Linked DNA regions of Lepisosteus oculatus. The protein of the gene in region 2 binds, or shares a complex with, the protein of the main gene of each other region. Links are inferred from orthologs where the notes say so. Each region holds a gene or a part of one and is shown on either strand. Other genes may lie near its edges. The genes, in order: klhl21, cul3b and klhl12.

Evidence for each region.
Region 1: cul3b (region 2) and klhl21 share a complex: the UniProt entries of both Homo sapiens proteins name them as parts of the BCR(KLHL21) E3 ubiquitin ligase complex. The link is inferred for Lepisosteus oculatus from reciprocal best matches to the Homo sapiens genes CUL3 and KLHL21.
Region 3: cul3b (region 2) and klhl12 share a complex: the UniProt entries of both Homo sapiens proteins name them as parts of the BCR(KLHL12) E3 ubiquitin ligase complex. The link is inferred for Lepisosteus oculatus from reciprocal best matches to the Homo sapiens genes CUL3 and KLHL12.

The regions. Positions count from the first base shown.
Region 1 is NC_090720.1:9,156,623-9,160,375, forward strand, and holds the start of klhl21 (kelch-like protein 21), read right to left. Parts: upstream 2,692-3,753; 5' UTR 2,460-2,691; exon of another isoform or gene 2,110-2,459; intron 1-2,109. Other genes in the region: thap3 (THAP domain-containing protein 3), read left to right, coding at 2,692-2,816, 3,676-3,753. UniProt on the Homo sapiens protein: Substrate-specific adapter of a BCR (BTB-CUL3-RBX1) E3 ubiquitin-protein ligase complex required for efficient chromosome alignment and cytokinesis.
Region 2 is NC_090708.1:6,829,644-6,833,396, reverse strand, and holds the start of cul3b (cullin-3b), read right to left. Parts: upstream 2,891-3,753; 5' UTR 2,511-2,890; coding exon 2,448-2,510; intron 1-2,447. UniProt on the Homo sapiens protein: Core component of multiple cullin-RING-based BCR (BTB-CUL3-RBX1) E3 ubiquitin-protein ligase complexes which mediate the ubiquitination and subsequent proteasomal degradation of target proteins.
Region 3 is NC_090700.1:30,400,505-30,404,257, forward strand, and holds the start of klhl12 (kelch-like protein 12), read right to left. Parts: upstream 2,357-3,753; 5' UTR 2,050-2,356; intron 804-2,049; 5' UTR 765-803; coding exon 684-764; intron 1-683. UniProt on the Homo sapiens protein: Substrate-specific adapter of a BCR (BTB-CUL3-RBX1) E3 ubiquitin ligase complex that acts as a negative regulator of Wnt signaling pathway and ER-Golgi transport.

The DNA.
Region 1 (3,753 bases), on a different chromosome or scaffold from region 2:
ACACTGGTCAACGCCAGCTTGTGTAAATATGTGTATTCTACTGTAAAAACAAAAAGGAAATCTAATTTACCAAAGGAAAACGAGTTTGTTCCCTCTTTATGTTTTTTTAAAAACATTTAATTTAATTTGGAACTGGTTATTTGAAAGTGTCAGAGACCGCAGGAATGTAAGCGGTCGGCTTTTGCGAGGGAACTGAACAGTGGCACAGAGGAGAAGGCTGTTTCTATGAAACTCTGTAAATTGTAAAATATGTTGTAAATAAAGATCTAACTATTGATTATTTTAAATCGGCATCTGAAGCTCTGGTATTACTTTTTGGACTTCTTTTTCTTTTGAACGTTGTGAAATCCGGAATAAAAAAAGATGTTACTTTTTTTAAACAAATAAATTTGGTATTCTCAGTTGTTCATTGCACCTCCATGATTTGGGCTATGTGATTGTTGATCACCTGCAGCATTACCACGTAAGGAGAGAGGGCTGTGGGTCTTCTGCCACGCACACTGTGGGGTCTCTTGCCCTTCTGTGCTCCTGTAGCAGATTAATACCCGTGACAAGGGTGGTGCCTCTCTGTGTTGTGCCAACAAAATCGGCAGCACCTCGAGGCGGGTGGTTCCCAAATCTGTTCCTGCAAGTTTCTAGGCTTCTCAAACTTCAAAACAACCTTGCACCTGGCTGAAGGGTTAAAGTGATCCCGTTAAGATTTAATGTGACCAGTTAATCCTTTCCCAGCTGCCTGGAGCTGCTGATTTTTTAAAGAGACACAGACAACCTGCTGGAGTGGTGGTTCCCATTTGTGGTCTTGGGGTACCCCTGTGTCTGCTGGGCTCTTAACTGGCGTCTGTAACAGACTGACTCGTTAGTTCAGGCCAGGTGATCAGTTGAAAAATCGACACAGGCCGACTCATTGTTGGAGTTTCCTGATGCAGTTTTTTTCCCTACTGCTTAAGTCCAGATGGTTATATTTCAGCCAGCACACCTGACTGGGGTCAGCCCTGAAACGTACTGATTAGCACAAGGTCCATATACCAGCTACTAATGCCACTCGGCTTTTCAAGAGCTGGAAATCCATTTTAAAAGGGTCTCAAAGAGAAAATTGAAATAAGAGAGATTTGAAGTCCTGTGATTAAGGACTTGACAAGGTTAGTAAGGACCAAGACGGGGAACGCATTTCCGATCGCGAAACTTGGCAGCCTTTGTCAGTGCATTTCCTCAACACCGAAACTGTGCTCAAAGCAGACCTTGACTCTGCACCAATAACAGCTGATGCCGAGATGTATTTGAATGAAGAGATTCAGCTGTACAGTTCAGATACCTAATGTAATAAACACTAGTATTGGAGCAGGCAGGCAAGAGCTGGAAACCAGCGGCACCTTAGCTTTCCAGCAAGGCTGACTGGTCATGCCTCTTCGGGACTGTTCTGTAACATTTACCCCGCGGGTCTCAGACTCAGCAGAATCCTCTGGGCTCTGTTTCACTGGGGCACTCTGTTACAGAGCGGGTCTAATCATTCACCGAAACGCAGAACTGCGATATCACGGCCATGATTTGACAGGTTTTAAAAGGTACTATCTTTACTGGCGTAAATGTTTTGAAGGTTTGACAGTAAGACACCTCGAGAAACCTTAATTGTGGAAACAGCTAATCAATTACATTTATTGTTCAGTTTGACCAACTATGTTGGAACATAAACCCGAAGATACCAAGACCGTCTAGGAATCGAAACTGCTTTACAATAAGGTTCCCTCATTTTTCATTCTTTCTTTTTGTAAGATCCCAGTCGGTTTTTGATCACTGTCACTTAGAGCTTTGTCACAGCATAGAGGCAAAACATTGCTGGAACAGAGATCTCTTGCCTTTATCCTGGAGAGCTCTTTGGTCTCCTGGGTTTTCAACCGAGCTCTTAATGACAGAAAACCACATTTTCTACCCAATCAGACAAGAACATGATTAAAATACCGTAGGTGTGGTTCCCCATTATCACTTGTAACAGAAACGCAGTGCAATCTTCGGTTATATACAGACCTCAGCTGAGAACGTACTGTATTGTGTCTTGGTTTTCTATTACTGCCCCTGCTGTGACTACAGATGAATACAACAGTGTGAGAGTGAATTACACACAAGTTCAGTGGTCCCACTCAACAGCCACCAACTCCGCCACTCTTATAATGACAGAGAGGTTATGGGCTACGCTGTGAGACCCAGACCCATCTGCCGGCTGAGATCTTATTCGGGGAACCTTGCGGAAAACACCGAAGCCCGTCGGCCATCTTGGTTTCGGGATGTTTTCCGACCTGGCAGGCTAGTCATCTGTTCGTGTGAGAGCGGAGCAATGCCCCACTCCCGGAGTCACACTTTCAACGACGCGCTACCCGCTGTGAGGAAGAGCTGACGAGGCCGAGAAAAAAAAAATGTGGATGTTTTAAGAAATTCAGCTCACCGACGAGGACGGTGAAACCTACCGCGTAAGCAGACGCGCCTTCCGAAACGCAGTTTGGGAGATGGGATTGAAAACTGGAGTGTCCGCGCACTTCTGTTTTACACTTCTGCGAGAAACAAAAACACACTCATAACCGAGGACACCCCGCCGAAGGGTTGACTTGTTGTAATTTCCTGTCTCTTTTTTTCCCAGCCTCCGGCTTTTCGCTCTGACTGAGGGGCGACGGCTCAGCTCGGGTGCTGCCCCCAGTTGGAATGCTGGCCGCCATCTTTGTTTGGGGCAGAGAGAGCACTGCGCGTAAAGACATGCCGAAGAGTTGCTCTGCTTACAACTGTACCAACAGGTACAGCAGCAAGAACCCGGATCTCACCTTCCACAGGTACAGCTGTTTTCCTGATTGTATTCACAGTAATCCACAGCACTGCCGCACTCACACTTCTGATAGCGAGAGCAATCAAGAATCTGCTTCAAGCTGATTTTTTTCCACCCTCAGCTTCTGTCCTCGCTGTCTCCCAGTTCCTCCGAGCCAGGACAGCAGGAGTGTCTGTTAATTATTAAATTAAGTCCTCGGTTTGTTCAGCGCGGGCTAACCTCTTTACTGCGCTGTGTGTGAAGTTGTTCGGACGTCCAGTGTTGAATAAGATACTTTTTTTGTTTTTACCCATTGCATATCTTTATCTGGGAAAGATACATTAATTCAGTGATCTCACGGTATGGGTTTGTGTTGAGTATATAGGAGAGATGTAGGAGTTTTCGAAGTGGTGTGTAGGGAAGTATTATGTGTAAGAAGTGCACAAAATGGAACAGGTTCACATATGGTTGCGTGGCCTTGTGTCCGTCTGGGCTGTTATTATTTTACTGCATATTATTTATGATTGTCATCGTTATTAATATTGACAAGAGGGCGACACAGTGCTGTAGTGGTTAGCAAGGCTACATCACAGTGCTGGGGGCCCTGGGTTCAATTTCAGACCCCCGGCTGCTGTCCGTGTGGAGTTTGCATGGCCTTCTGGTGTTCGCATGGGCTTCCTCGGGGTGCTCCAGTTTTTCCCACACACTGGTAGGGTTAGTTGGCTTCTGGGAAGATAGCCCTGGTGAGACCCTGTGTGTTGGTGCCTGTGTGTGCCCTATGTTGGACTGGCGCCCTGTCAAGGGTGAACCCTGCCTTGTATAAGGGGTTAGAAGACAGATGGATGGATGATTTCCAATGCCTCACCCTGGCGCTCCCTCCCTGGCAGGTTTCCCTTCAGTAAACCCCACGTGCTGAAGGAGTGGCTGGACAACATCGCCCGAGACGACTTCCAGCCCAAGAGGCA
Region 2 (3,753 bases):
GGGACATTTTGTTGAACTGCACAAATCAAGCCTAAAGCTAGTTAAACTTGACCATTAACGGTTGCGCAGGAATGAACACCTGCAGGACTGCAGACCTCCAAAACTGGGTTTGGGAAAACCTAGTTTAAATGACAGAACACCAATCGGTAATTTATATGTCACATCTTGATTTTAAAATGCTTCCTTTAAAATACAATTAGAACACAGAGGTATTATGTATTGATAATTTATCACAGGCTTTGATCAATATGAAATCAGACACTGCAGTCATCGGTTCCCTTGACAGGTTAACACTGGAATTATGCTGTATGAACTGTCATCTAGTCATCTATTAGAACCATATTCAATTAAAAGCCTAGAAAAATTATTCTGTGGCAATAATTCTATGATAAATGACTGAAAATCATTTCATTCTGCATGTGTGTTCCCAATACTCTGTAGGAGTACAGCACTCATTTTACACTACAGCATAAGAGAGTACAAGAGGAACATATGGCAACTACAACCATAGGACATTATGGTACCGGTGTTACGAAGAAACTATGGACCATCCTTACACTGGTCAGCATAAACGTAGCTCACCAAGACTAGGTGTATGGAAAGAGAATAATGGAGTGGGTGTTGCATTTTACTACCACTTGAAAACATTTCAAGTGTCAGATGATGTGAGCAGGCCTGATTCACTGACATTTCGACTAAGATGATGTGTTGCCCTAAATAACTGTGTTGACTGAAACAGCACAGATCAGACACCCTTGGGATGGGAACTGGCAAGACTGTGATACCTCCTATTAGGTTTTTCTCATCCAGGAATGGACTAGGATACCCCCTGCCAAGATCACTTAAAATGCAACCTGTGATACCCACTGGTAAATATCTACACAGCAGATATCGGAGGACTAATCCTTCCACTTCCAAGGCAATTCTGCGTGAAGCCAACTCACTGCTGGACAACTGCTTTGACATTTAGTTTTCAGTACATCTTAAGCAGTTACAAGCAATTACAGTCAGGTATAATGTATCAACATAGCTTCAACCCCCTGATATGTTGTATTTTTTAATAAGCACCTTAAGATGTTAAGACTAATAATTTTTACATAATTTTCAGCCTTGATCTACAAAAGAGAGGTCAAAAGTATGAGATTAAAACAGTTAATTATAGACAGAAACAGCAAGATGTTTCTGCAAAAAGTGAAATGCAGGACCACCTAGTATCTGTTTTAAAACAATTTGCCACTGAAGTATTTTTTTTAAAGGAGCAGGCAATGAGCAATTCAGCAAATCACTGATTAGCAAGGAAAACAACTTACAAGGGCTGCACACGAATCAGGACATGACTTATGAACTGCAGTTACAGGCCAGTCCTTACACTTGCTTATCATATGGGCTTTCCTGAGGTATAAAGACAACTTTGGCATGCTAGGATCATCAAATAACTACATGTCCCTAACCCAACGAAAAGAGGGTCTCCTGAAGGAAGACATGTTAGAGACAATATCTGATGACAGATTTCCAGTGTTTTTCTAGAGTCCACAAAACGATCGAGCTTCCCAAAACTAACGACATCATTTCACACCTTGATTTACATACATGACATCAAGGCATCTTTTCACCTTACTATTGCTTTACTAACACCATTAGTAGTGACTCATTTTATGAAACATGACTCTCCTGACCACCTAGATTTTTATGAGATTATCGTTCATTTCTTTTAATTCGACGTATACGCCATGAAATATCCTTATTTTAGTTGTTCTTTTAACAATGCGAGTCATTACGACGTTTGACAACGCTTATGCATTCAAACCTCAGTATTAAACAATTTTATCGGACAGTCAGGCCTACACACTGCTGTGAAACTAATTTACTCACTGCGACAACCATGTCGCGGAACATGTTCTTGTTTTGGCAACTGTACTGACTTCACAGAGCGGATGATTTAGTACTTTTTGTTACGTTCCGGGTGTGAAGTTCACCTTGCTAAACATGCAATTAGTTCTGCTAACTTACCTGAAATCAGAAAGAGAAACAACCTCATTTTTGTTGTCGTAAGGCTTAATGCTGTGGCTATGAAATAGCTATATGCCATCACGATCTATAATGAAAATAAAACTTCCTGAACTACTGAAATGTTAGCTACCATTTCCCCCCTGCCGATTTGCTCACTGACCTATTAATGTGTCAAAAATGAAGGCCTCACTAACAACAAAGATTTAACGTCGGACTGTAAATTCACTCCTCTGTTCCCAGACATTACTTTTTACTTAAGAGGGGGAAAAAGGCATTTCAAGATCGTGTACACGAGCAAGGTTTCAGTAGCTCGCGTATTTTCAAAGCCTTTGTTTACTAACTGGGAGGCCTGATTTTCGCCATTCCCTGACCGAATCCCCGGCGCTCGAGTCTCCTCGCCCGCCCGCTTAGGTGCCCCGTCCCCGGCTACTACTCACAGGAAAGGCTCGTATCCTCATCTTGGTGTCCTTCTTGGTGCCGCCTTTGCTTAGATTGGACATGTTTGGATCGCGTCTGTTTCTTTATTTACATTAAAGACTACGTGGGCAGCTGCGGGAAAATGTGCCGACGGGAATGCCGTTTAGCCCCCTCGACCTCTCCGGCGTGTCTACGTCCCTCTTTCTGGGCTGGTATTGTCACTCCGCCGCCGCCGCCACTCCAAGTGCTCGGCTCTTTCTGCACAGTGATGGCGGACAAACAGCTCTCAGTGCGCAGGGCTACCCCACACCGAAACTCGCGCGAGATAAAGGTAGAGGGGAAAAAAATCTGCGGGAGACAAAAACACACCATTAAAGCCATGCGCTGCGTCGATGCAGCATATTAACCTTTAACGTGAGTTTCACGCCTCCGGGTGTCTGCCGTAGGAAAGGTGAACCGTGAGGCGAGGAACGCGATCTTAGAGGCGCACGCACAGTAAAGGGAAGCTAGTTAAGAAAATAAAAGTTGGGGGGGAACCTGATGTCACGGTTGAGTGTTTCAGAATATGATGATCCGCAAAGAAAAGGCAGGAGAATATAATAACGGGCACACTTTTGTACTCACTCTCATACGGTGGCACTTAACATGTTTGTTACCAATGTTTTGTCAACAAACTTCTTGGGGCCAGAAATGCGACGTACATTCAGATTCCGTTCCTATTCATGTAGTTGTACATGAATAATAATAATAATAATAATAATAATAATAATAATAATTGCTTACACTTATATTGCACTTTTCTGGACACTCCACTCAAAGCGCTTTACAGGTAAAGGGGACTCCCCTCCATCACCACCAATGTGCAGCATCCACCTGGATGAAGTCAACGCCTTGACATTAAAAATATTACACACAACTGCAGTCCTGTTACCTATATGCCATCTCTTGCCAAAATTCTTGAATTGGTCAATCAATAGCTCAGATGCCTGTGTTATGATCTGTTTGAAGCTTCTCTGAGTCTGAGTCTGAGTTTGGAGAGAGACTTGTTATGGTGGGTATTGACTTGATGGTTTCAGTCTCTAGGTCACTTAATTTTCTTTTTTATTCTGGTCCCAAGTGCAGTTTTGTCTGTCAGTTACACTATGGCACTCTACAAGAGCATATGGCCCAAAAATTCCCATTGGCCCTTACCAATCATGGCCTCCTAATAATCCCCCTCTATGAATTGGCTTCATTACTCTGCTCTCCTCCCCACTGATAACTGGTGTGTGGTGAGCATTCTGGCGCACTATGGCTGCCGTCGCATCATCAAGGTGGATGCTGCAC
Region 3 (3,753 bases), on a different chromosome or scaffold from region 2:
TGGCCTTTATCAATCATGGCCTCCTAATAATCCTCATCCCTGGCTTCATCACTTTGTTCTCCTCCCCACTGATAGCTGGTGTGTGGTGAGCATACTAGCGCTCTACAGCTGCTGATGCATCATCAAGGTGGTGCTACACATTGGTGGTGGAGGGGAGTTCCCTTTATCTGTATTGCATTTTGAGTGGAGTGTCCAGAAAAGCGCTATATAAGTGTATGGAATTATTATTAGTAATAGACGTAGTACACTGGCTGAAGATACTATCCTTCACAAGAGACATTAAGCTGGTCATTAACGATCCTACTGCACTTTTTGAAAAAGTAGGGTGTTGTATCAGTACCCTGGCTAAATTTCACTCTTTGATTGTACAGTGTGGCTTTGCAAAAGTTCCCCGTGAATGTAGCTAGAAGTAATTTCTCGTTTCCCACCTCATCGACTGTTTAGCAGCACCACTGACAGAGAACAGCGGCCACACTCACTCAGATGGGAACTACTCATTAATGATGGATGAAAAAACGGGGTTCCCTCCTACACGTAAAGTGCTTAGGGGACTTTTGGGATTAAAAGTGCAATATAAATGCAAGGAAATTTTATTAATACTCTTTTAAATACCACATACAGGTATATACAAATTACATAAAATAGGTTTTGAGAAAAACAGTGGCAGTGGTAAGAATTGCTACCTCGTGGAGCTGTGGCCCTGGGTTCAGCTCTGGACGTGGGGTGCTGTCTGCGTGGAATTTGTATGTTCTCCGTCTGTTCATGTGTGTTTCCTCAGGGTGCTTCCGTTTCCTCCCGGTTTCCTCCAACAGTCCAAAGACAATTAACTTGTAGGTTAATTGGCTTCTGAGAAAACTGGCCCTAATGTGAGTGTATGTCTGTTTGCCCTGTGATGGACAGGTGTCCATTCAGGGTGTAATCCTGCCTTGTGCCTGTTACAGAGATAAACTCTGGCTCCCCCACGACTTTGAAGTGGAAGAAGCCATTAGAAAACGGATGAACGGAGGAACGTTTTTCCAGAAAAGCATTCTTGCCTTAGCTGGTACTGTCAGACGTCGTGTTATCTAGGTGAATTTTTTTATTTAAATAATTTGAAAACAATCAAAAATTCCATAAGAAAATAGCCACTGGCTATCTCTAGTAACCGTTTACAGTATAAACTACAGTACATTGTTTCCAAGGAACTAATTGTAACTAAGGAAGTGCACTACTCCAGCGCATGAGCAGTACCATTGTGGACGTCCATGGCCACTGATCCTTGGTTGTCATGCCAACAAAGGTCAGGGGTCAAAAGTGATACGTCACAAAATTTCGTTCAACGAAATAAACATCGACGTCCTTGAGTTCACGAAATGAGCAGTGACAAAACACAAACGGTATTCCGCTTCGAGCGCACGACTTGAATATCAATTTGCGATATTCGTATACAAAATAAACATGTTTTTGTCTAAAAATTGAAAGTCTGTATGTCATTATATGGGTAGAGTAACACAACTGTCTTTTGTGGGTACAATGAAAGTTGTTAGTTTTTCATTTCGTGTTGTGCAAAACAAAAATCAATTATGTAATACATTTCATGTTGGGAGTGTAATACGACAAACGGCGCCCTTCAGTCCTGGGTACCCCACGACAAGTACAATCGGGCATCCGGGTCACCCTGCAGCTCACGGCCGATCGATTTCACAAAGCTTTGCTGCTAATGCTGGTCCGAAAAGCACCAGTTAACATTGCAGTTTAACTTTACAGTGTGCCAAATACGTATTGTGCACAGACCCGTATCTGACCGCACGATTTAAGAATGATTTACTAAGAGAATCCTATTCGAGCACGAGGTATCATTACGAACAGAATATGAATCCAGTGCTTACAAGATGCAAAATACTGAGGTATATTATATTTATTTTCCTAGCCGGTGGACATGTTTATAACAACCAGATCACTTCAAGGGGTCAAATGCAACAGCCCGTTATATGATTTTAGAGGTCAACAAGCTCAGATGTAATGTTATTTGAATGCAGTGTACTTTATTGCGGACAAAACGTTATTTACCAGCAGATGAGACGCTCCGGTGATTTGCACAGTTACAACCCCCAGCAAAGACGCTCCATACTCCGGCGTATCCGTCACTCCCACACCGCGGTTCTTCTCCGCGGCCCGCGTCTGTTGGGATCTTTCTAACTAAAATCAAGTGTTACCGAAACAAACGTCCAGGTTTCTAATCCTCTAAAAACAAGATAGTTTGGTTAGCTCGTAACTGTATTCAAAATCCCCACAGTCACACAGTTTTCATGATTAGCACTGTGCTATCCAGGAAGATAAAAGTCCCAGGTACCAGTTGCAAACACAACACAATGACGTCATGGTCACACACAAGGTCCACACGCCCGAGGATTCCCACGGCCGTGAACGCGCCTTCTTTTCTCTATTAAAAATGCTTAAACTGCTATTTAATGTAAAGAATCTGTGTATAAAATCACAGTTATGTTGCAGTTTACATAAATGTGTAATACATTTACGTGATAGCAGGTAATTATTTGTACGAGTATTTACATATTTAAGAATTTGTTTTGACATTATTGTTTTATTTTGGCTTTTCAATAACCCCAAAAGGCCCCCTTCCTGCCGCTTTCACAGTTCTTGTGGAGTATGGAATTAGAAATTAGCTGAAACACTAAGACAGATGTTTCAGATCATGGAAAAAAAATATTATGAGGTGACGGTTAACTGCAGTGTTTTTGTTTTCACCGGTTTATTTAAATAAAGACAGCGTGTTCATTACTGGAACAAAAAAGCAAAGGACACAGGGGTAGTTCCCAAACCGGGGCTGAGAATCACAGCTCCAGCTGCTGCTGTTAGTGGTGTTGTTGGGCCAGTAGGTGGTGTTCTTCCATCCTGACCACTGTTCAAAAACCAAGGTCCCAGTACGATTGGGATGATGATCGGGGACACCGTGCTGCAGGAGGTGCTGGTCTTCGGGTGATACATTAATCTGAGGTAACGACTTTGTTTAGTAGGGGTGTCAGTTCTGGTGTCCTGCTTACTTCTACCCTGGGCTTGTACCATGTAGCTTACCCTGTATCTTCCCTTAATTCAGTCGAAGCAGTTTCTCATTTCTCCCCCTGACCAGCTGTGCAGTGGGACTGCTGGTGCCGACCAGTGGTGCCTCTCAGGTGGGGGCTGTGCTTCAATGCTGGAGGAAGAGGGGGCCTATTTCTTTATAAAGAACTTTGGAATTCTTTAGGATGGAGAGCAATAGTAGAATGCAGCTTTGGGCTGTGTAATTATTTCAGAACCTTGTTAAGTACTTGCCATACCTACACGAGATGCCAAAAAATAAAAAGAGGCACAGCTCATCTTGCAGCAGAATCATGCTTTCCTTTCAGCAGATGAGGCTGCATTATGATTTGTAATTGTAAATCTTTGACAAGGAAAAGGATATGACGAAAACCCAATGCCCTGAGGTTGGGAGGCAGAGGCTGGGAGTTTAACATGTAAAGAGTAACAAAATAATCCATACATTTTCTAACGGCTTCTAACAATTCGGGATTGCAGGGGAGCCAGAACCTAACCTGGCATAAAACTGGTGCAAGGCAGGATATACCCTGGACAGGAAACCAGCCAATCACAGGGCACGCACAGAGACAAGTACACACACAGTCCCACCAGGGCCAATTTTCCCAGAAGCCAATGAACCTACCCGTATATTTTTTGGACTCTGGGAAGAAACTAGAGTGCCCAAAGGAAACTCACACA